Linked DNA regions of Callithrix jacchus. The protein of the gene in region 1 binds, or shares a complex with, the protein of each later gene. Links are inferred from orthologs where the notes say so. Each region holds a gene or a part of one and is shown in the gene's direction. Other genes may lie near its edges.

What was found. The genes of interacting proteins can lie anywhere in the genome.
Region 2: SMARCC1 (region 1) and ARID1A share a complex: the UniProt entries of both Homo sapiens proteins name them as parts of the neuron-specific chromatin remodeling complex. The link is inferred for Callithrix jacchus from reciprocal best matches to the Homo sapiens genes SMARCC1 and ARID1A.
Region 3: SMARCC1 (region 1) and SMARCE1 share a complex: the UniProt entries of both Homo sapiens proteins name them as parts of the BAF complex. The link is inferred for Callithrix jacchus from reciprocal best matches to the Homo sapiens genes SMARCC1 and SMARCE1.
Region 4: SMARCC1 (region 1) and DPF1 share a complex: the UniProt entries of both Homo sapiens proteins name them as parts of the neuron-specific chromatin remodeling complex. The link is inferred for Callithrix jacchus from reciprocal best matches to the Homo sapiens genes SMARCC1 and DPF1.
Region 5: SMARCC1 (region 1) and ARID1B share a complex: the UniProt entries of both Homo sapiens proteins name them as parts of the neuron-specific chromatin remodeling complex. The link is inferred for Callithrix jacchus from reciprocal best matches to the Homo sapiens genes SMARCC1 and ARID1B.

Annotation. Positions count from the first base shown.
Region 1 is NC_133516.1:30,366,093-30,369,592, reverse strand, and holds part of SMARCC1 (SWI/SNF complex subunit SMARCC1), read left to right. Parts: intron 1-43; coding exon 44-157; intron 158-1,239; coding exon 1,240-1,393; intron 1,394-2,707; coding exon 2,708-2,821; intron 2,822-3,500. UniProt on the Homo sapiens protein: Involved in transcriptional activation and repression of select genes by chromatin remodeling (alteration of DNA-nucleosome topology).
Region 2 is NC_133508.1:63,351,479-63,355,757, forward strand, and holds the start of ARID1A (AT-rich interactive domain-containing protein 1A), read left to right. Parts: upstream 1-1,479; 5' UTR 1,480-1,853; coding exon 1,854-3,005; intron 3,006-3,845; exon of another isoform or gene 3,846-4,279. UniProt on the Homo sapiens protein: Involved in transcriptional activation and repression of select genes by chromatin remodeling (alteration of DNA-nucleosome topology).
Region 3 is NC_133506.1:92,613,396-92,617,695, forward strand, and holds the start of SMARCE1 (SWI/SNF-related matrix-associated actin-dependent regulator of chromatin subfamily E member 1), read left to right. Parts: upstream 1-1,500; 5' UTR 1,501-4,300. Other genes in the region: keratin-like protein KRT222, read left to right, coding at 770-998. UniProt on the Homo sapiens protein: Involved in transcriptional activation and repression of select genes by chromatin remodeling (alteration of DNA-nucleosome topology).
Region 4 is NC_133523.1:33,815,102-33,819,256, reverse strand, and holds the start of DPF1 (zinc finger protein neuro-d4), read left to right. Parts: upstream 1-1,355; 5' UTR 1,356-1,460; coding exon 1,461-1,492; intron 1,493-4,155. UniProt on the Homo sapiens protein: May have an important role in developing neurons by participating in regulation of cell survival, possibly as a neurospecific transcription factor. Belongs to the neuron-specific chromatin remodeling complex (nBAF complex).
Region 5 is NC_133505.1:163,604,924-163,609,037, forward strand, and holds the start of ARID1B (AT-rich interactive domain-containing protein 1B), read left to right. Parts: upstream 1-1,314; 5' UTR 1,315-1,617; coding exon 1,618-3,384; intron 3,385-4,114. UniProt on the Homo sapiens protein: Involved in transcriptional activation and repression of select genes by chromatin remodeling (alteration of DNA-nucleosome topology).

The DNA of each region.
Region 1 (3,500 bases):
AAGAATACATATCCACCTTATGAATTTTGCCATTGATTTTTAGATACTTGGCATATCGAAATTTTATGATTGACACGTATCGCCTAAACCCCCAAGAGTACTTAACCAGCACTGCTTGTCGGAGGAACTTAACTGGAGATGTATGTGCTGTAATGAGGTAAAGCATTTGACTTTTTCTGAGACATTTCACTGTAGGAATTTACTGATGCATTGCTATCGAATGTTTGCTTGATTAAACTGGATATTTCAACTGGGTAAAACACCTAATTTTAGTTATCTCATTTAGGGGTTGATTATATTTTGTTTCTTTTTATTTCATTCAATTAAATTATTTTTATTTTATTATTTTAATTTAATGTTATCATGATGGGGTTTCACAGTGTTGCCAAGGCTGTTTTCAATCTCCTGGCCTTAAGTGATTCTCCTACCTTGACCTCCCGAAGCACTGTGATTGCAGGTGTGAGCCCTGGATTCAGGATTAGGAGTTGAATATTTAAAATACTTAATTTAGGCTGGGTGCGGTGGCTCATGCCTGTAATCCCAGCACTTTGAGAATCTGAGGCGTGTGGATCACCTGAGGACAGGAGTTCAAGCCTGGCCAACATAGTGAAACCCCGTCTCTATTAAAAGTACAGAAATTAGCTGGGTGTGGTGGCACATGACTATATCTCAGCTACTCAAGAGGCAGGAGAACCCAGGAGACAGAGATTGCAGTGTCATCCAGCCTGGGTGACAGATCGAGACTCTCTCAGAATAAATAAATATTTAATTCAGTTTTTTAGATTTTATAATTCATATTTTTAATTTTTTGTCAAATCATAAAATAAGCAGGGATGGAGTGGGTTCAGGTCGAGAGTGGATAAGCTCTGTGCCCTAGATCTGCCTAAAGACAAAAAAACAAAATGTGGATTTTTTTGGTGTGTATATTTGGTCTGTGTGTGATTTCATTTATTAAAATGGACCTAAATATGTATTTGTGCTCTCATTTCTGTGGTTGAAATGATTAGATTTTGTAATAGGTTTAGGGGGTGCTGTGTTATCAACGTTACTTGTGACTTAAGAAATTCTTCCTCAAAATCTGTCAGGTAGTTTGTGGTGTTTCATAGCCTGCTGAGAATATTTACTTCTTTTATTGTTTCTGTTTTTTAATAACATCATGATGATGATGATGATGATGATGATGATAAAGCACCTGAAGTTGATTCTGTAGATTTTAACTTTTCGAGCTTTTTTCTTTAGGGTCCATGCCTTTTTAGAGCAGTGGGGACTTGTTAATTACCAAGTTGACCCGGAAAGTAGACCCATGGCAATGGGACCGCCTCCTACTCCTCATTTTAATGTATTAGCTGATACACCCTCTGGGCTTGTGCCTCTGCATCTTCGATCACCTCAGGTAAATTAATGTCGACTTTTTCTTCAGAACTGGATAGTAACACCTGACTATTTACAGCATATCTATTTAGGAATAATTGTTATTGTATTATAATGGCTATTAATAGTGCTATTTCTTTTATGGTTGGTTGTGTGTGTGTGTTTTGGTGTACTGTAAATATTACAGTCCAAAATAATATATGCTATTTAAGTTAATGCTGTCCCACCAATCCCAAGACCCACTGCCTTACTCTATCAAATTATTAATTTACTTTTATATACATAACTTCCTTTATCCTTCTGTCATCAGATACTCATAAGTAAGCAGATGATGCAAAATGTTTTTTTTCTTCCTTCAGTCTTTGTTCTAAAAATGTGAGGCAAAGAAATCTTTATAACTTGTCCTAAGATTTATAAAGTTTATATTCATATATACATTATCAAACAGATTATGTCAAGGAAATTGTATTTAGCATTAAGTTGTATTTACAGGAACCTAAGGTATAAGAATTTTGTCCTATGGTGAAATAGAAGATAGTAATGAAAATTTTTTATCCTTTTTGGGACTTAAATGGACGCGAAAATGTGTCTTAAGTGTTGAATTTTTGTTAGAAGTATAGTGTAGAAGTGTGGGTATTTATTTTTTTGTAGGAGATCCACCAAGAGTGGTTTAAGTGCCAATATTAAACAGTTTTTTTTTTTTTGAGCTGGTGTTGTTCTCTCACCCAAGCTGGAGTGCAGTGGCGCAGTCTTGGCTAACTGCAACTACTGTCTCCCAGGTTCAAGTAGTTCTCCTGCCTCTACTTCCTGAGTAGCTGGGATTGCATTCCCTGCTAATTTTTGTATTTTTAGTAGAAACAGGGTTTACCATGTTAGTCTGGCTGGTCTGGAACTCCTGACCTCGTGATTTACCTGCCTTAGGCTCCCAAAGTGCTGAGATTACAAGCATGAGCCACCGTGTCCAGCCCCAGCAATTTTTTTTTTTTTTTGAGGCGGAGTTTCGCTCATTACCCAGGCTGGAGTGCAATGGCGCGATCTCGGCTCACTGCAACCTCCGCCTCCTGGGTTCAGGCAATTCTCCTGCCTCAGCCTCCTGAGTAGCTGGGATTACAGGCACGCGCCACGGTGCCCAGCTAATTTTTTGTATTTTTAGTAGAGACAGGGTTTCACCATGTTGGTCATGCCGGTCTGCTGACCTTGTGACCCACCTGTCTCAGCCTCCCAAAGTGCTGGGATTACAGGCATGAACCACTGCGTATGGCCCAGTTTTTGAAAAACATTTATCCTCTTGACTTTAAAGAGGTTAACTCAGCCATTTATCATTTATTTGACTCAGGTCCCTGCTGCTCAACAGATGCTAAATTTTCCTGAGAAAAGCAAGGAAAAACCAATTGATTTGCAGAACTTTGGCCTTCGTACTGACATTTACTCCAAGAAAACATTAGCAAAGGTAAGGATTTTGTTTTTAATCTAAACTCATGCAGGGTATAATCCAGCACGTCTTAGTACTTCTATGATACATCTAATGAGTTTTCTACTCAAATCTGGTGATATTTAAAAAAACACTATTAGAGAAAATCGAGGGGGGGAATGGAAAATTTGAACAGATAATTGGAATCTGTGAAAAGAATCATGAGGTCGGGGGTGGTGGTTCATGCCTGTAACTGCAGCACTTTGAGAAGCCGAGGTGGTCGGATCATGAGTTCAGGAGATAGAGACCATCCTGGCCAACACGGTGAAACCCTGTCTCTAATAAAAATACAAAAAGGAACTGGGCATGGTGCACATGCCTATAATCCCAGCTACTTGGGAGGCTGAGGCAGGAGAATAGCTTGAACCAGGGAGTCAGAGGTTTGCACCACTGCACTCCAGCCTGGTAACAGAGTGAGACTCTGTCTCAAAAAAAAAAAGAGTCATGAATATTTTAGAACTGAAAAGTATACTTGAAATTATTTGATGGGTTTAATAACAGGCTGCATATAGCAAAAGATAGGTTAGTGAACTCAGAGACAAATTAGTATATATGTGGAAACCTAGGTACCAAGAGCGAAAGAAATTGAATTGAAGTAGGGAGGGGCTAGGATAAAGAGAGGAGAGTGCAAAGATGTGATACAGTACAGGCTGGACAT
Region 2 (4,279 bases), on another chromosome or scaffold:
ATAAACCTGGCCTTATACCCAACTCAATCGGGGTCTCTTAGAATGTAATGGTAAACTTTAAACTATCTTTACACTACAGGATAGAAAACAAATCTGAGAAGCATGCATTTTCTAAGTGACTTGTTGGACTGTGCCTGTTCTTTAAGGAGAAAATGGTTTCCATTTTGTGCATCTCTCTTCTGATAATTGTTTGAACACTCAGGTTCCTGCAGTCCCTGGAGCCTCTTCTGTGGCTTTTCAGTCTTACAAGGTACTGTCTTTGGAGACTAGGGCTACTGGTCATTGTGGGCTAAGTTATCTTAAGAGAGTGAGAACAGGGTTTGGGTTCTCCTGCTGGATGACTGTTCTGTGCCCCTAAAACAGCTTCAGTGGCCTCCATTTTAAGTCAGAGGTGAGATGATCAGTTTTGACTTCAAATCCATTTTGATATTCTGGTATCATTGTTGAATGTGCTCACAATTTTTTTTAAGGCAAGTAGACCGAAGGCAGCTTTGGTAACTCCACTTCTTTTAAAGTCACCCTCCTCTACCCTCTGACTTTAAGTGACAGGGAGTTCCCTCCCCTCTCTTTCAATTCTGTGAAATGGGGATAATCCGAACCTCAAGCCCCCAGAGCCTTGTGAGGACCGGCGAATGAGGGCAGGCGAGTGGGAAACGAATCATCCAAACAATGATCAGTCATTCCTTTGGGCTTGCAAAAGGGGTAAGAATCAGGGCTCACTCAGCTGGGTCTTTAGCGGGGTCAGTAGAAGGCTTTGAAAAGTGCTGTAGAGGTGCTAAGCAGCAGCCAACGGAACGGGCCGGTTGCCAGGGGGTCAGGGCTGGGCCGAGGCGGTCGCGGTCTCGGGCTCTGGCCAATTTTGCAGCCGCGGGTAAAGTTCACGCTGCCCGCTCCCTTCGGTACGGCCGGCAGGGGACAGATCAGGATAGGGACGCCGGGAGGGAGGCGACGCAGGCTCCAGAGGCGCGGGCTCCGGGCCGGGTTTTCTCCGAAGCCTTCGGCGGCGGCGCTGCCTAGCGAAAGCGGCTGAGGGCCTGCCGCCGCCGCTGCTCGTTCTCTCCCCTCCTCCTTTGTGAGGGGAAGGGAGCGAGTCCGTTCCACGGCCTGCGCCGGCTCCGCTCTCCACTCCGGGTTTGCCAGGCGGCCGCGACGGCGCTGGGTAAAATGGCAGTGCTGAGCCTCGTGTCGGAGTGAGGGGGACTCGGAGGAGAGTGGGGCGCTCTAGCCGCTGAGTCCGGCCGACCGCTTGCTCGCTAGCCCGCTGCCGCGCAGCAGCCTCGGCTCGAGCTGCGGCTGGCGAGGGGAGGCTGGGCGCCCGGCCCGGCGCGCGTTCCGACTCTGGCACTCGGCACCCCGGCTGCTGCCGCGCGCCCTCCAGCCCGCCCGTCCCGGGTCCCCCTCCCCCCGCTCCCTCCCTCCGTCCCTCCCCGCCCCCTCCCCCCTCGCCTCCCTCCCTCCCTCCCTCCTCCTTTCTCCGGCAGCAGAAAGCGGAGAGTCACAGCGGGGCCAGGCCCTGGGGAGCGGAGCCTCCACCGCCCCCCTCATTCCCAGGCAAGGGCTTGGGGGGAATGAGCCAGGAGAGCCGGGTCCCGAGCCTACAGAGCCGGGAGCAGCTGAGCCGCCGGCGCCTCGGCCGCCGCCGCCTCCTCCTCCTCCGCCGCCGCCAGCCCGGAGCCTGAGCCGGCGGGGCGGGGGGGAGAGGAGCGAGCGCAGCGCAGCAGCGGAGCCCCGCGAGGCCCGCCCGGGCGGGTGGGGAGGGCAGCCCGGGGGACTCGGCCCCGGGGCGGGGTGGGAGGGGGGGGGAGAAGACGAAGACAGGGCCGGGTCTCTCCGCGGACGAGACAGCGGGGATCATGGCCGCGCAGGTCGCCCCCGCCGCCGCCAGCAGCCTGGGCAACCCGCCGCCGCCGCCGCCGCCGCCGCCCTCGGAGCTGAAGAAAGCCGACCAGCAGCAGCGGGAGGAGGCGGGGGGCGAGGCGGCGGCGGCGGCAGCGGCCGAGCGCGGGGAAATGAAGGCAGCCGCCGGGCAGGAAAGCGAGGGTCCCGCCGTGGGGCCTCCGCAGCCGCTGGGAAAGGAGCTGCAGGACGGGGCCGAGAGCAATGGGGGTGGCGGCAGCGGCGGAGCCGGCAGCGGCGGCGGGCCCGGCGCGGAGCCGGACCTGAAGAACTCAAACGGGAACGCGGGCCCTAGGCCCGCCCTGAACAATAACCTCACGGAGCCGCCCGGCGGCGGCGGTGGCGGCAGCAGCGATGGGGTGGGGGCGCCTCCTCACTCAGCCGCGGCCGCCTTGCCGCCCCCAGCCTACGGCTTCGGGCAACCCTACGGCCGGAGCCCGTCTGCCGTCGCCGCCGCCGCGGCCGCCGTCTTCCACCAACAACATGGCGGACAACAAAGCCCTGGCCTGGCAGCGCTGCAGAGCGGCGGCGGCGGGGGCCTGGAGCCCTACGCGGGGCCCCAGCAGAACTCGCACGACCACGGCTTCCCCAACCACCAGTACAACTCCTACTACCCCAACCGCAGCGCCTACCCCCCGCCCGCCCCGGCCTACGCGCTGAGCTCCCCGAGAGGTGGCACTCCGGGCTCCGGCGCGGCGGCGGCGGCTGCCGGCTCCAAGCCGCCTCCCTCCTCCAGCGCCTCCGCCTCCTCGTCGTCTTCGTCCTTCGCTCAGCAGCGCTTCGGGGCCATGGGGGGAGGCGGCCCCTCCGCGGCCGGCGGGGGAACCCCTCAGCCCACCGCCACCCCCACCCTCAACCAACTGCTCACGTCGCCCAGCTCTGCCCGGGGCTACCAGGGCTACCCCGGGGCCGACTACGGCGGCGGGCCCCAGGACGGGGGCGCTGGCAAGGGCCCGGCGGACATGGCCTCGCAGTGTTGGGGGGCTGCGGCGGCGGCAGCGGCGGCGGCGGCAGCCGCTTCGGGAGGGGCCCAACAAAGGAGCCACCACGCGCCCATGAGCCCCGGGAGCAGTGGCGGCGGGGGGCAGCCGCTCGCCCGGACCCCTCAGGTACACAGCTGAGTGGGGAGGGGGCTGGGGCGAACGTGGTCCTGGGGGTGGGTGGTGGCTGCGGTGAGCGGGCCACAGCCTTGGGCTCCCCTCAGTCCCGGGCCCCCACTGCTGGGGAGCTGCCATTGTCTGGCTCTTCTTTCTTAAAATGGCTGCCTGTCTGCCTTCCTCTCCTTCCCTCCTTTAGGCTTTGTGTCGGGCTTTCCTAGAAATGTCTGCTCCTCTTTTTCCTTTCCCCTGGTTCCTTTGAACTCCAGGGGTCGTCATGGGGATGCGGGGCAGAGTGTGCGGGGAAGGGCCTGGCCGGGGGTGAGGGGGTGCTGGGGGCTCAGGTAAGAAGTGTAGGCAGTGGTAGGAGCCCAGGAGTTGAGTGAACGTTTTTCTTTGCTCACCTGCCGCTCCTCTCCGTCTCCCGGCCTTCCTCTGGGCCGCCCCCCGCCTCCGTGCTTTCAAGGAGGGCCCCTAGACCTCGGGGGGACCTCGAGGGAGGGCAGGGGACTGCTTGGGAGCTGCTAGAGGCCGGCTGCGGTTCACCTAGGGCAGCCCGGGCCATCTCCTGTCTTAGGCTCCGCCGGCCCAGTGGCCTGGGCTTCTCCCTGGAAGTGCTGGTAAACAGCTGAGTGATTGGAGTAGTAAGTGCAGATTGCTTTGGTTTGGGATTTGAATTATGGAGGTAAAATCCTTCTGTCAAAGCCAGGAGACAGTTGGTCTTAGGTTGACATCCTATCTGTGATCTGATTGGCTCCCCATCTCCTGCTCTTGGCCATTTATAATTGCCTCTGATGTAATGGTACAACAATCCTGATGAGCTCATAAACTTTTACACTCTGCTTTTCTGCCAGTGATAACCCAAACCATTGCTGTCACTATCTGCCTTTTATTCCAGAGTTGAAATTGGCTGTGACCTTGAGGAGGGAGGTTTAAGTAGCAATACTGTATCAGCAGGAGCAGAGTCTCAGACAGCCTGTCCTTGTTACATTGTGCCCGAAACAAAAGAGGAGGCAATGGCATTTTGCATATACCTTGGATTTATTTTGCTTGTTATGTTTTATGCAGCCTGAAATGGATTCTGTGTTGTCAGAACAGTAGCTGAGTTTTTTCTCTACAATGGGTTTGCTGTTTGTTTTGGTTTTGTGACTTTCCTGATGGTATAAATGACTTCTTTGATGGCTCTGAAGATGCATTTGTCTTGAGTAATTTTGACACTGTTTGCTTTGCAGAATTGAAATGATTTTACTGGGTTTTTTATTGAGTGGGAAATGTGGAATCTTTAT
Region 3 (4,300 bases), on another chromosome or scaffold:
ATGTGCCACCCTGCCCAGTAATTTTTTCTCTTTCTTTTTTTTTCTTGCATTTTTAGTAGAGATGGGCTTTCACCATGTTGGCCAGCCTGATCTCAATCTCCTCACCTTGTGATCCACCCACCTCAGCCTCCCAAAGTGCTGGAATTACAGGTGTGAGTCACCATGCCCAGCTTTTACTGTGATTTTTAATCTGACATATATACATAAAAACTCATGGAAGATTACTTAATCCTTAATTCGCCATTTTTTTCTAAAAATACAACCTGAACATGAGAATTCCTACAGAGAAATTCCATACAATTCCTTGGAAATTCTATTCATATGAACTTCAAAGTAAGTATATTATAAATTCTACAAACTGCCGTGCGCGGTGGCTCACGCCTGTAATCCCAGCACTTTGGGAGGCCGAGGCGGGTGGATCATGAGGTCAAGAGATCAAGACCATCCTGGTCAACATGGTGAAACCCCGTCTCTAATAAAAATACAAAAATTAGCCGGGCATAGTGGTGCGCGCCTGTAGTCCCAGCTACTCAGGAGGCTGAGGCAGGAGAATTGCCCGAACCCAGGAGGCGGAGGTTGAGGTGAGCCAAGACCACGCCATTGCACTCCAGCCTGGGTAACAAGAGCGAAACTCCGTCTCAAAAAAAAAAATTCTACAAACTATAAATTATACAAATTTCTTGATTTTTTCATAGATATGAAATACATATTATATATTTTTAATAGACCCATACTTCTTTATATTAAAAGGTTTATTTTATCATTTCAGGACAGAGAAAGTGGATGAAGTTATTAAAGAATGGGAAGGTTCTTTCTTTAAAGATAACCCTCGATTGAGGAAAAAATCTGTTTCTCTTCGATTTGATCTTCATTTAGCAGCCACCGATGAAGGGTGTTTACAGACTAAGCAGGATAATCTACCAGATATAGAAGTCAGGCTTATCATGAGACGATCATGCAGTATTCCCTCTATCAAACCTCCATCGACAGCTGATTAATCCAAAGATAGTATTTGACTTGATTTGAAAATGTTAGGATGGTCCAAGGTGGGCCACACCGACTCCCTTTGTCCCAAAATGTAAGTTATTAAGTATGTATGGAAAAGGTTATGATCAATATGTGGTTCTCTTCAGAAGAAAAAAAACAGTTAAGGACATTTCTCTGAATCTAATTATGGAGATATACATATATATATATATATAAATGAGGGGGTAGCTTAAAAATAAAATCACAAATTCAGTACAGTCTATTTCTTATTTTCCAAATAGTCTTCTTTTTCCCTTGAAACTTCATCAGAGACTGTAAGCATTAACCTGGTTTAGTAAAGTCTTTGTAATTTTTTTCAACGGCTGAACACTCTAAGGAAAAAAGAATTGTTTGAGTAAGATTGTATTATGTTAAGAGTCACACTGAGTTATTCATCATTATTCCATGACTAGTTAAACCTACAATGTTTGTTCTATTTTTCAAAAACAGCAATTATAAACAAGTTTTTTAAGGGGGACTCACTATTCACTTAACGAGAATTCTTCCTTTTTAGAAAATCATTTATATACTCAGAAAAATAAGAGTTATTTTCCATGAGAAATTCTGAGCAAACTATTGAACACACCCCAAGGCTAACTGGATAAGTAAAATTAAGTTAATCTATACATATCTAAATGTTTTTTAAATAAGTATCTGATTTCCAGAAGATTTACTTTACTCAAAGAACTTTAAAGGTTGTATCCCCCACCAAAAAAAGACAAAAATCAGAAGGCCAACTGTACAAACAAAATATGAAAAGCAAATTGAAAAGGTAGTTACTATCATTATCAGAACAGTTACCCGCCATCCCGGTTTTTCCACCTGTACAGCCAAATGTGATTAGAGTGTTTGCTATCAGCCTTAGATAAGATACTATATAAAGTATTATAAATATTTCTTGCAATCATTCATGTGAACTAAGATAACAGTAATTGTTATCTAAGCTAAGAGTGTTTGCAGGATTTGTTTTTAAATTGTTCAAATTGTAATAAATATGGGTAGAAAATATATTTGTGAATAAGTGAGGTATTGTTGCAAAGTTTTTAAAATAACCTAATTTAATACAGGTATATTTAAGATCTTAAATAATAAATACCTGTTTTAAGACATTAGAAATGTATAAGCTCTTAATTTTTTTCTAAGCAGAAAAAGTAGTTGAGTACAACTCACCATACTTTTTCCCAGCTAAAGTATCATCTAAGGGCTCCAGCTATGTTTGCATTTTAGTACAGCCTTTGCAGCCTTTAAAATCTCTCTCTCTCTCTGTACATATATACATATATGTACATATATATATGTATTTCAACCAGAAAAAATATATGATTTAACCAGGAAAATATTATATTATTTTAATATTTAACATAATACAGGGATAAAAATTTTTAATTTTCTTTCAATTACTTCAGATTCCTTTTAGTCTGGCTTATTCTATTTAATGAAAAGGGATGATTTTGTTTTGTCAAGGATATAACAGCATGTTAAGTGCTTATTCTTGCATAAGCATTTGACCTAAAATACATCCTATACATGAAAAAATGTTTCATTCAATATTGCTAAATGCTACTAGCTTTATTAAAGCTTTAAAAATGCAATCATATAAGCTATTGTACTAAAGTTACTGTACGAAGCAGCAGTGATCATAATAAAGCAATATATCTAGCATCATGTATTTCAGTGTTAAAAAAAACTTAGTACTGGGTGTCATGAATGTAACTGCTTGTAGTGATTTCAGTATGTATCTATGGGGTATATAACATGTACATTTAAAAATACAGTTCTTGAATTTATAACGAAGTTTTATTCACTCTGAGGCATTTAAATTGGGATATGAATTTACCAAGGTAATGATACTAACACAATTTAAAAAAGCAAAACACGACCAGGCACAGTGCCTCATGCCTGTAATCCCAGCACTTTGGGAGGCCAATGCAGGAGGATCGCTTGAGCCCAGGAGTTCAAGGCCAGCCTGGGCAATATAGCAAGACTCCATCTCTATAAAAGGTAAAAATAAATAAAAATGAAAAATTGAAAAAATTGAAACATGAATGCTAAAGCTGCATTGTATGTGAGTTTGAACACAGTCCTTTAAGTTCAAAGTATCTCTGCATGGTTAAGTGAAGCAAAGAACTAATTACTCCAATATGGTTAGTTCATTTGGGGAATTAAAAAACCTGCAATCACAGTAGATAGATAATGGTTTTTAACTTGTTTTACAAAAGAAAGTATTAAAATGGTATATTTATATTTTATTCTAATTTTTTTTAATCAAAATAATCACATAATCCTATAATTCTGGGAAAAGTATAATAATGGCAGCACCATTTGCAAAGTACTTACTCAGCTGCAGTCACTGTGTTGAATCCCTAATCCTTCCTTACAACAATCCTACAACATGAATAATATTATCCTTGGTTTATACAAGAGTAGAAATTAATATTCTTGAATCGCTTGGAAATGTTACAAATGCATGCTTGCATAACAAAATACAAAACTGAAGAGTTATTCCAATTACTAACAACTGTAGGATCCTAGCCCTGGCTCTGTCACTAATTAACCCTGTAACCAGGAGGGACTACTTTAAGTTCCTACGTCTCAAGTTTTACATTTGAAAACAAAGGAAAAGGTAATGCTGGGTAATAATTCCTACTCTGCCTATTTTACAATTCTTTGAAATAATATACAAGCAAAAATATTTGGTAAAGCACTGCTCAGATACACAGTACTATTTGGAAGAAAACTGTCTTCAGAGAATTTGTGGGGAAAATTATAGCTGACAATGATTAAGTAATAATTCAAAACACAACGGGTAAAGATACTATTTTGGTTTTTGGGGTTGTTTGTTTGCTTGTTTTGAGACTGAGTCTCACTCTGTCACCCAGGCTGGAGTGCAGTGGCATGATCTCGGCCCATTGTAGGTTCAAGCGATTCTCCTGCCTCAGTCTCCACAGTAGCTGGGATTATAGGCATATGCCACCATGCCCAGCTTATTTTTGTATTTTTGGTAGAAATGGAGTTTCACCATGTTGGCCTGGCTCATCTCCAACTCCTGACCTCAGGTGATCTGCCCACCTCAGCCTCCCAAGGTGCTAGGGTTACAGGCATGAGCCACTGTGCCCGGACAAGATACTATTTTTAATTTTTCAATTACTGCCAGAAAAGCAATTCTTTCCCAATAAGTCTCACCCAGTTTGAACTGTTCTGTCATGATAGCTTTTAAAGTACTAAAATATTCTGTATGCCAGGCACAGCGGCTGATGCCTATAATCCCAGCATT
Region 4 (4,155 bases), on another chromosome or scaffold:
CTCCTTCAAATCAATCTGCTTTTTTTTACTTGCTTCTTTTTTCTTTCTAAAATCTGTGTTTTGCTGAATCTATTTTCTTTTCTTCTTTCTTTTTCTTTTCTTTCTTTCTTTTTTATTTTTAGAAACAGTCTCTCTCTGTTGTCTAGGTGGAGTACAGTGGTGTGATCACAGCTCACTACTGCCTCCAACTTTCAGGCTCAAATGACCTTTTTGCCTCAGTCTCCTGAGTAGCTGAGACTGCAGACATGCATCACCACACCTAGATAATTTTTAAACTTTTTGTAGAGATGGGGTCTCATTATGTTGCCCAGGCTGGTCTCGTGCTCTGGGGCTCAAGCAATCCTCCTGCCTTAGCCTCCCAAAGTGCTGAGATTACAGGTGTGAGCCACTGTGCCCTGCCTCTTCTCTTCTCTTGTTTTTTTTTCCTCTCTCTCTCCCTCTCCCTTCTTTTTTGAGACAAGGTCTCACTCTGTCATCCAGACTGAAGTGCGGTGGCACAATCTTGGCTCACTGCAACCTCTGCCTCCCAGGCTCAAGTGACCCTCCCACCTCAGCCTCCTGAGTATCTGGGACTACAGGCATGCACCACCACACCCGCCTAATTTTTGGTATTTTTGGTAGAGATGAGGTTTCGCCATGTTGCCCAGACTGGTCTTGAGCTCCAGAGTTCAGATGATCCACCTGCCTCGGCCTCCCAAAGTGATGGGATTACAGGCATGGGCCACCATGCCCGGCCCAATTTTCTTTTCATAGCATCTCTCACTGTCTGAAATGATTTTATCTCTTTATTTTCTTATTATCTGTATTTCTCCACTAGAACGTCAGCTCCTTGAGAGCAGCAACTTTGTTTTGGTCATTGCTGTATCCTTAGTGCCTAGAAGAGTTTCTGGAACATAGCAGCCACTCAGTAAACGAACAAAGGCGTGATTAACCCCTGTGCTTGTTCACAGGCTCGCTGATATAGAAGAGAAACCCAAATAGGCCCAGACAAAAATACACGATAAAAACCCTAGGGTCATCCACATACCCTGGGGACATCCAGAAGCTAGGGACCACCTGCTCCCGCGCTCGCGGTGCCTCGAGGGTGGAGATCCCGAGCTGGGGACGGAGCACTCCCAGGGAGAGAGGAAAGATGCTCTGGGGGCAGCCCCGCCCCTCCCTGTATCCCCAGCAGCCAATGGGAGCGCGGTCCTCCTGACGCCCCCTGGGACGTGTAGTCTGGGCAGGGGCGCCCTCGGGCGCCGCCGAGCGCCCCTAGACTCCACGTCCCGTCGTGCGCTGGGAGGCGCGGGGATTGGCTGAGCCCCGCCCCCGGCCCGCCCCGCTCCGCTCGCGCCGCAGCCCCAAGAATGAATGAAATCGTAGCGCGCTGGGCGGCAGAGCGGGCGGCGCAGGCCGGGCTGGGCCCGCGCGCGGCGGCAGCGGCGCCCCGGGCCGGAGGCGGCCCAGCCGAGCGGGCCATGGCTACCGCCATTCAGAACCCGCTCAAGTCGTGAGTGTCCCCGCCGTCCCCGCCCCCTGTCCAGACCCCCCCACCAGGAGCCCTTCCCCCGCCCGCCCTGTGGCTGAGGAGGGGGACGCAGCGCGCGGACCCGTAGTTGAGTGGGGGCCCCCAGCGCAAACCGTTGCCCCGGGGGTCGGCCACCCCCTGTCGCCCCCTGGGGTTGGAGGCGGGAGCCTCTTCAGGGTCGCGGGGGCGCCTCTTCTTTGTCGCTGTCAGTGAAGGAATGTGGCGCGGGCTGGGGGTGGCGGAGGCCGTTTCCCCACCCAGAGTGGGGGTAGGGGTTTCCCTCTCCTCCATCTCTCCCTCAGGATCTCCGGAGGTGCCGGGCCTGCCCCGGCCGGGGCTGGAAGCTCGAACACCTGAGTCCGGACCTCGGTCCCCAGGGTTTCCATCACCCGCTCTCCCCTCATCAAAGCGCCTTTCTCTCTTTCCCCTTCTTTCTCTGGGGACCCCGGACCTCGCGGCCGCAGGGTGGGAGCTGAGACGTCGGGGGTCCACGGTTCCATCCCCGCTGCCTCCCTTTTTTCCTTCTGGGATCTCCGGGAACTAGAACCCCGAACCCACGGCCAGCATGGACCGCGGCATCCCTTCCTCTCCCCGCCCATACACATCAAACCGGAGCATCTCTGGTCCCCTCCGGGACCGGCCCGGGAAGGGGGTGCCTGCCGGGAGCGCCCTCGGTCTCCGGGGATTCCCTCCCTTTCTTCCTGGCCGCGGCCCTCCGAGCGTTCGCATTCCTCCCGGGCCCGGTGGCTGGGGACCGGGACGCCTGGGTCCGAGCCTAGACCCTCCTGACCCTCCCCTCTCCCTGCCATCCCTCGCGCTCTCCACCCCTCCCCTTCCCCCTCTCCATCTCGGGCTTGCTTCCTCTTCGGGATCCCGGACTCCTGGGTCCCAGAGCTCCCCACCCCCACCCCTAGTTCCTAGGCGGTGACAGCGGTCTCCCAGTGACAGGCGCTTGGCTGCTCCCGCCCTCCCTCCCCGCAGGCGAGCGCAGCGCTCCCCTCCCCCTCCTCCTGGGCCTGGTGGAGGAGGCGGAGGGCGAGCGCCCGCGGCGGCGCCGCACAAAGGGGCCGGGGCGACCTCCCCACCCTTCCCCCAACCCCGCTCGCTGGCTGCCTTGACCTTGAACATCGAGGGCTGGGGGCGGGGCGAGTGGGGACAGGGAGAGAGGGAGCGCACCCCCCACCCCACCCACAAGAAGGGCTGCGCCTGCCGGCTGGACCAGAGGCCGCCAGTTGCTTCTGGTTTCTGGCGGGAATGGGGGTGGGAGGTGGAGGGTGGGAGTTGGGAGAGGAAGGGGGGCAGGGACTTAGAGGCACGCGCCTACACGTGTGGCTCCGCCGTTAGCAGGGTGCCGGGAGCGAGTGTGTGGGACTCGGGTCCGTGAGAGGTGGTGCATGATGCTGACACCCCTCCGCTGCCCTCTCACCCTGAGTGGCACACACAGTTGTCTCTCATGTGAGGGACACTGCACAATGGTTGTGAGCAGGGTGCCGGGAGCGAGAGCTCCTGTGCAGGTTGGTGGATCTACCCCGCACTCTGACCCTGGCCCAGACACTCCCCCCCCCCCCCCAGGAGGTGTGCTGCATTGGAGAGCAGGGACCTGGGGAGAAAGCCTGGACTGAGAGGGCCCTGCCCCCTGTGCCCTCCCCTTCCAAAACGTATCTGCTGGGGTGAAGGTGGGGAACTCCCTGACTCCTGAAAGAATGTGAATCACATCCCTTGGGGAGAAGGAGCTGGAGGGTGCCGCCCTGGGAAGTTCCACTGCCTGAGTTCTAAAACCAGCTTGAGCCATGAACGTCCCCTGCCGCGAGCCTCAGTTTTGCCATCTGTGTATGGGGCTTTTTTTTTGTTTGTTTTTTTGAGACTGAGTTTCACTCTTGTTGCCCAGACTGGAGTGCAGTGGTGTGATCTTGGCTCACCGCATCCTCCACCTCCTGGATTCAAGCGATTCTCCTACCTCAGCCTTCCCAGTAGCTGGGACTACAGGCGCCAGCTAATTTTTGTATATTTAGTAGAGACGGGGTTTCACCATGTTGGTCAGGACGGTCTTGATCTCTTGACCTCATGATCTGTCGCCTCAGCTTACTAAAGTTTTGGGATTACAGGCGTGAGCCACGCACCTGGAGTATGGGGTCTTCTAACAGCCCTTACCACCCCATACGGCTGTCTCGGGGCTTAAATAAGGCCGTCTTTGTAAAGCGCTTAGCACAGAGCTCTGACCCTGACCAAATGTAGTGATTAGTAGGAGTAGTATCAATATTGATTTATGAAATTGATTTCTACTGTGGGTCAGCTCCACACAGGGCACTGGGGGATGGGAGCAGGAGGATTGTTTGGGCCAGGGAGAGGACTCGGAGGAAGTGTGCAGGAGTGTGGGAGGGGTGTGTGCAGGTGATTAGGCAGAAAGGAAAGAAAGGAGAGCCCGCTCCAAGTGTCAGCCTGGGTCTATGGGTAGAAACGCTGCTGGTGGGCCAGGGACGGTGGCTCACGCCTGTTTTTACAAAAATACAAAAATTAGCCGGGTGTGGTGGCACCTGCCTGTAGTCCCAGCTACTTGGGGGTTTGAGACGGGAGGACCACTTGAGCCCAGGAGGTGGATGCCTCAGTGAGCTGTTAGTGCCACAGCCCTCTAGCCTGGGCCATCA
Region 5 (4,114 bases), on another chromosome or scaffold:
CCACTGCAGTGGAAATGAATCAAAATAGTTTTTATGGAAAGCTGAAGAATGAAATAATTTTGGAAAACTATGCCCTAACAAAACCTTAAATATTGTTTCTGCCAGCTTTTAAATGCTTTCTCTCCGTGAAAACTGAGTCCGCACTGGTACAAGTGGGCCATTGCCTAAGATTAAGAAGTCTTGCTTTTCAAAATGTTACTAAATGATTAATAACAATGCAAATATTTAAAACACTAGTAACAATGCAAACGTTTAAAACATTGTAAAATGATAGACACCAGTTTTTAAGAGAACAAAGTATGGAACGTTTCTACTTTAGGATTAGACTGTTTTACATTATTATTGGTTACATTTATTCAATATAATGTTTATAATATTTTTGTTTTGTTTCACATTTCTTTGAATGTATATCAAGAGGGTTAACTGTGTACATGCAGCTCTGAAATAGGATGAAAGGTGTCATGCAGATTTATGAAGATACAAGCTAACCCATAGCTGTCGCTGTTCTGGCACCAAGAGTTAAATTTTCCTGTGGAAGTTGGAGCAGAAAACACCTCTGTACATACTCGAGAGAGGACATCTAAGTGCACATAATAAGAAAAATGCTCCTTTGGGAATACTTGGAGTTTTCCTTGACAAGCCTAATACGTGTTTAAGGTGTCTTCAGAAAGAGTTATGTAAACATTCTCTTTGGAACGAGTGATAAACATTTATTAAGTACCTGCTGTGTACAAAGCACAGGGCTCTCTGACCGGGGCTAACTTTCATTTCAAATCTTTACTAATTCTGCAGTTGGAAGAAGTTGTGGGAATTACGCCGATGGCCCGAAATCAAGGCAGAGGCAAACGTTCTGAGAATTACATAACTCCTGGGAGAGACCGTGCTTTTGCACAGATTGCCTAAATATTTTCTTTCTCCGTCGGCTCCTTGTAACCTCTGAGGCCAACAGACAACTTTGTTCTCCGGCCCTTCTCCCTCTTTTGTCTGCTCGTCAGACTCGTTTTCCACCTTTGTATCGTTCCTTTTAGACGTGAAAACAAACACGCGAACGCCCGGTTGGCAAGGAGACAGCGGCCCGGGGGGAAAGTGCAGGTTCCGGCCGCCCCACGCCGCCGCGCTCCGGACCGCCGCCGAGCCGCCCCGGCCCTGGCCCCAGCCTTAGTCCCAGCCCGGCTGGGCCCCGCGAGGCTGAGCCGGGGCGGGCGGGCGGCGGCGACTGCAGCCCGGGGACGAGTCCAGTCCGCGTTTTGCGAGTGCGCGGGAGTAATGCGAGCGAAGTGGATAATAGTTGCTGGAGCTCGCCCGCTTCTTCTCATGCCATGCTGGGCCCGATAGGCTCAGCCAGTCGTGTATTTACCCATATCCGGGTTAGAGAGGAAAAGAGAAAAGTTTCATTTAAACCTGAACTAAAAACTTTCACCATGAAAGCACACAGCAGGAGCAGGCCCAGAGCGTAAGGCGTGCCCGGCCCGGCGCTCCGGCGGGGCCTGAGGAGGGGGAGGGGGTCGCGGCTTCCCGGCGGGCCGCGTGGATGCGCACAGGAGGGGCCGCGGCCTGAAAAGTGGGGGTTATTGTCTCCCCCCACCCCCCGCCCGGCCTCGCCACGCCGCGGCGATCATGGCCGCGCGGGCAGCAGCGGCGGCGGCGGCGGCGGCGGCGCGGGCGCGGGCGCGGGCAGGCAGCGGCGAGCGGCGGGCGCCCCCCGGGCCGCGGCCGGCGCCCGGGGCCCGGGACCTGGAGGCGGGGGCGCGCGGCGCGGCGGCGGCGGCGGCACCGGGACCCATGCCGGGGGGCGGCGGCGACAGCGGCGGCGGCCTGAACAGTGTGCACCACCACCCCCTGCTCCCCCGTCACGAACTCAACATGGCCCATAATGCGGGCACCGCGGCCGCCGCCGCCGGCACCCACAGCGCCAAGAGCGGCGGCTCCGAGGCGGCTCTCAAGGAGGGTGGAAGCGCCGCCGCGCTGTCCTCCTCCTCCTCCGCGGCGGCGGCGGCGTCCTCTTCCTCCTCGTCGGGCCCGGGCTCGGCCATGGAGACGGGGCTGCTCCCCAACCACAAACTGAAAACCGTTGGCGAAGCCCCCGCCGCGCCGCCCCACCAGCAGCACCACCACCACCACCATGCCCACCACCATCACCACCATGCCCACCACCTCCACCACCACCACGCACTACAGCAGCAGCTAAACCAGTTCCAGCAGCAGCAGCAGCAGCAACAGCAGCAGCAGCAGCAGCAACATCCCATTTCCAACAACAACAGCCTGGGCGGCGCGGGCGGCGGCGCGCCTCAGCCCGGCCCCGACATGGAGCAGCCGCAACATGGAGGCGCCAAGGACAGTGCCGCGGGCGGCCAGGCCGACCCCCCGGGCCCGCCGCTGCTGAGCAAGCCGGGCGACGAGGACGACGCGCCGCCCAAGATGGGGGAGCCGGCGGGCGGCCGCTACGAGCACCCGGGCGTGGGCGCCCTGGGCGCGCAGCAGCCGCCGGTCGCCGTGCCCGGGGGCGGCGGCGGCCCGGCGGCCGTCCCGGAGTTTAATAATTACTATGGCAGCGCTGCCCCTGCGAGCGGCGGCCCCGGCGGCCGCGCTGGGCCTTGCTTTGATCAACATGGCGGACAACAAAGCCCCGGGATGGGGATGATGCACTCCGCCTCCGCCGCCGCCGGGGCCCCCGGCAGCATGGACCCCCTGCAGAACTCCCACGAAGGGTACCCCAACAGCCAGTGCAACCATTATCCGGGCTACAGCCGGCCCGGCGCGGGCGGCGGCGGCGGCGGCGGCGGAGGAGGAGGAGGCAGCGGAGGAGGAGGAGGAGGAGGAGGAGCAGGAGCAGGAGCAGGAGGAGCAGGAGCGGGAGCTGTGGCGGCGGCGGCCGCGGCGGCGGCAGCAGCAGCAGGAGGCGGCGGCGGCGGCGGCTATGGGGGCTCGTCCGCGGGGTACGGGGTACTGAGCTCCCCCCGGCAGCAGGGCGGCGGCATGATGATGGGCCCCGGGGGCGGCGGGGCCGCGAGCCTCAGCAAGGCGGCCGCCGGCTCGGCGGCGGGGGGCTTCCAGCGCTTCGCCGGGCAGAACCAGCACCCGTCGGGGGCCACCCCGACCCTCAACCAGCTGCTCACCTCGCCCAGCCCCATGATGCGGAGCTACGGCGGCAGCTACCCCGAGTACAGCAGCCCCAGCGCGCCGCCGCCGCCGCCGTCGCAGCCCCAGTCCCAGGCGGCGGCGGGGGCGGCGGCGGGCGGCCAGCAGGCGGCCGCGGGCATGGGCTTGGGCAAGGACATGGGCGCCCAGTACGCCGCTGCCAGCCCGGCCTGGGCGGCCGCGCAACAAAGGAGTCACCCGGCGATGAGTCCCGGCACCCCCGGACCGACCATGGGCAGATCCCAGGTAACCCCCGCGCCGGCCGGGCCTGCTTCCGCCCGGCGGCCTCGCCGCGCCGCGAGCCTGAGTTTCTTTCTTTGCCGCGTACTTTTCCCCGTCTTCCCGCGGGGGTGGCGGGGGCGGCGGGGGCGCGGCGCCCAAAGCCATCTTGACGGGCGGCCGCCTCCCACCGCGGTCGGGGCGCCCCCGGGACCGACGAGCTGTCCAGGCCTGGGAGGGCTTCGCCGGGCCGGGCCGGGTGGCTTCGACCCCGCCGGCCCGCACCGGCGCCCCCACCCCTCCCCCAGGCCCGGGAACGCGAGGCGAGATTCCGAGGCGCCACCCGCACGGACGCCGTTTGGGGCGGCAGGGACCGTTCGGGTGCTTTTGTAACAAACAGGCTCACCCGGCCCGGACGGCCGGGGCGAAGAGCCACCTGATCGGCTCTGGGAGCGCCCACAGTGTGCTTTAACGGGGGAAAGAACGAGGAACTTTCTCTCACCTTGGGCCACAGCTCGTTCCCTCCTGGCTTCCGAGGTCCAGGCAGGGAAAATAGGTTAGCTTTGTGACAAGCTAGCGGGTTTTTCCTACTTAGGGAGAGCTTTTCAGACACACTCGGTGCGGGCTTCGAGCTCGAATGTTTGCTGGCAGGAATAATTCCAAAATTTACAACGACGGGGAGGTGCAATATTCTAAAATACATCGGTTCGTTCCTTAGAGTAGCCAGGGAAATCCATTATTGGGCTTACGGGCTGCT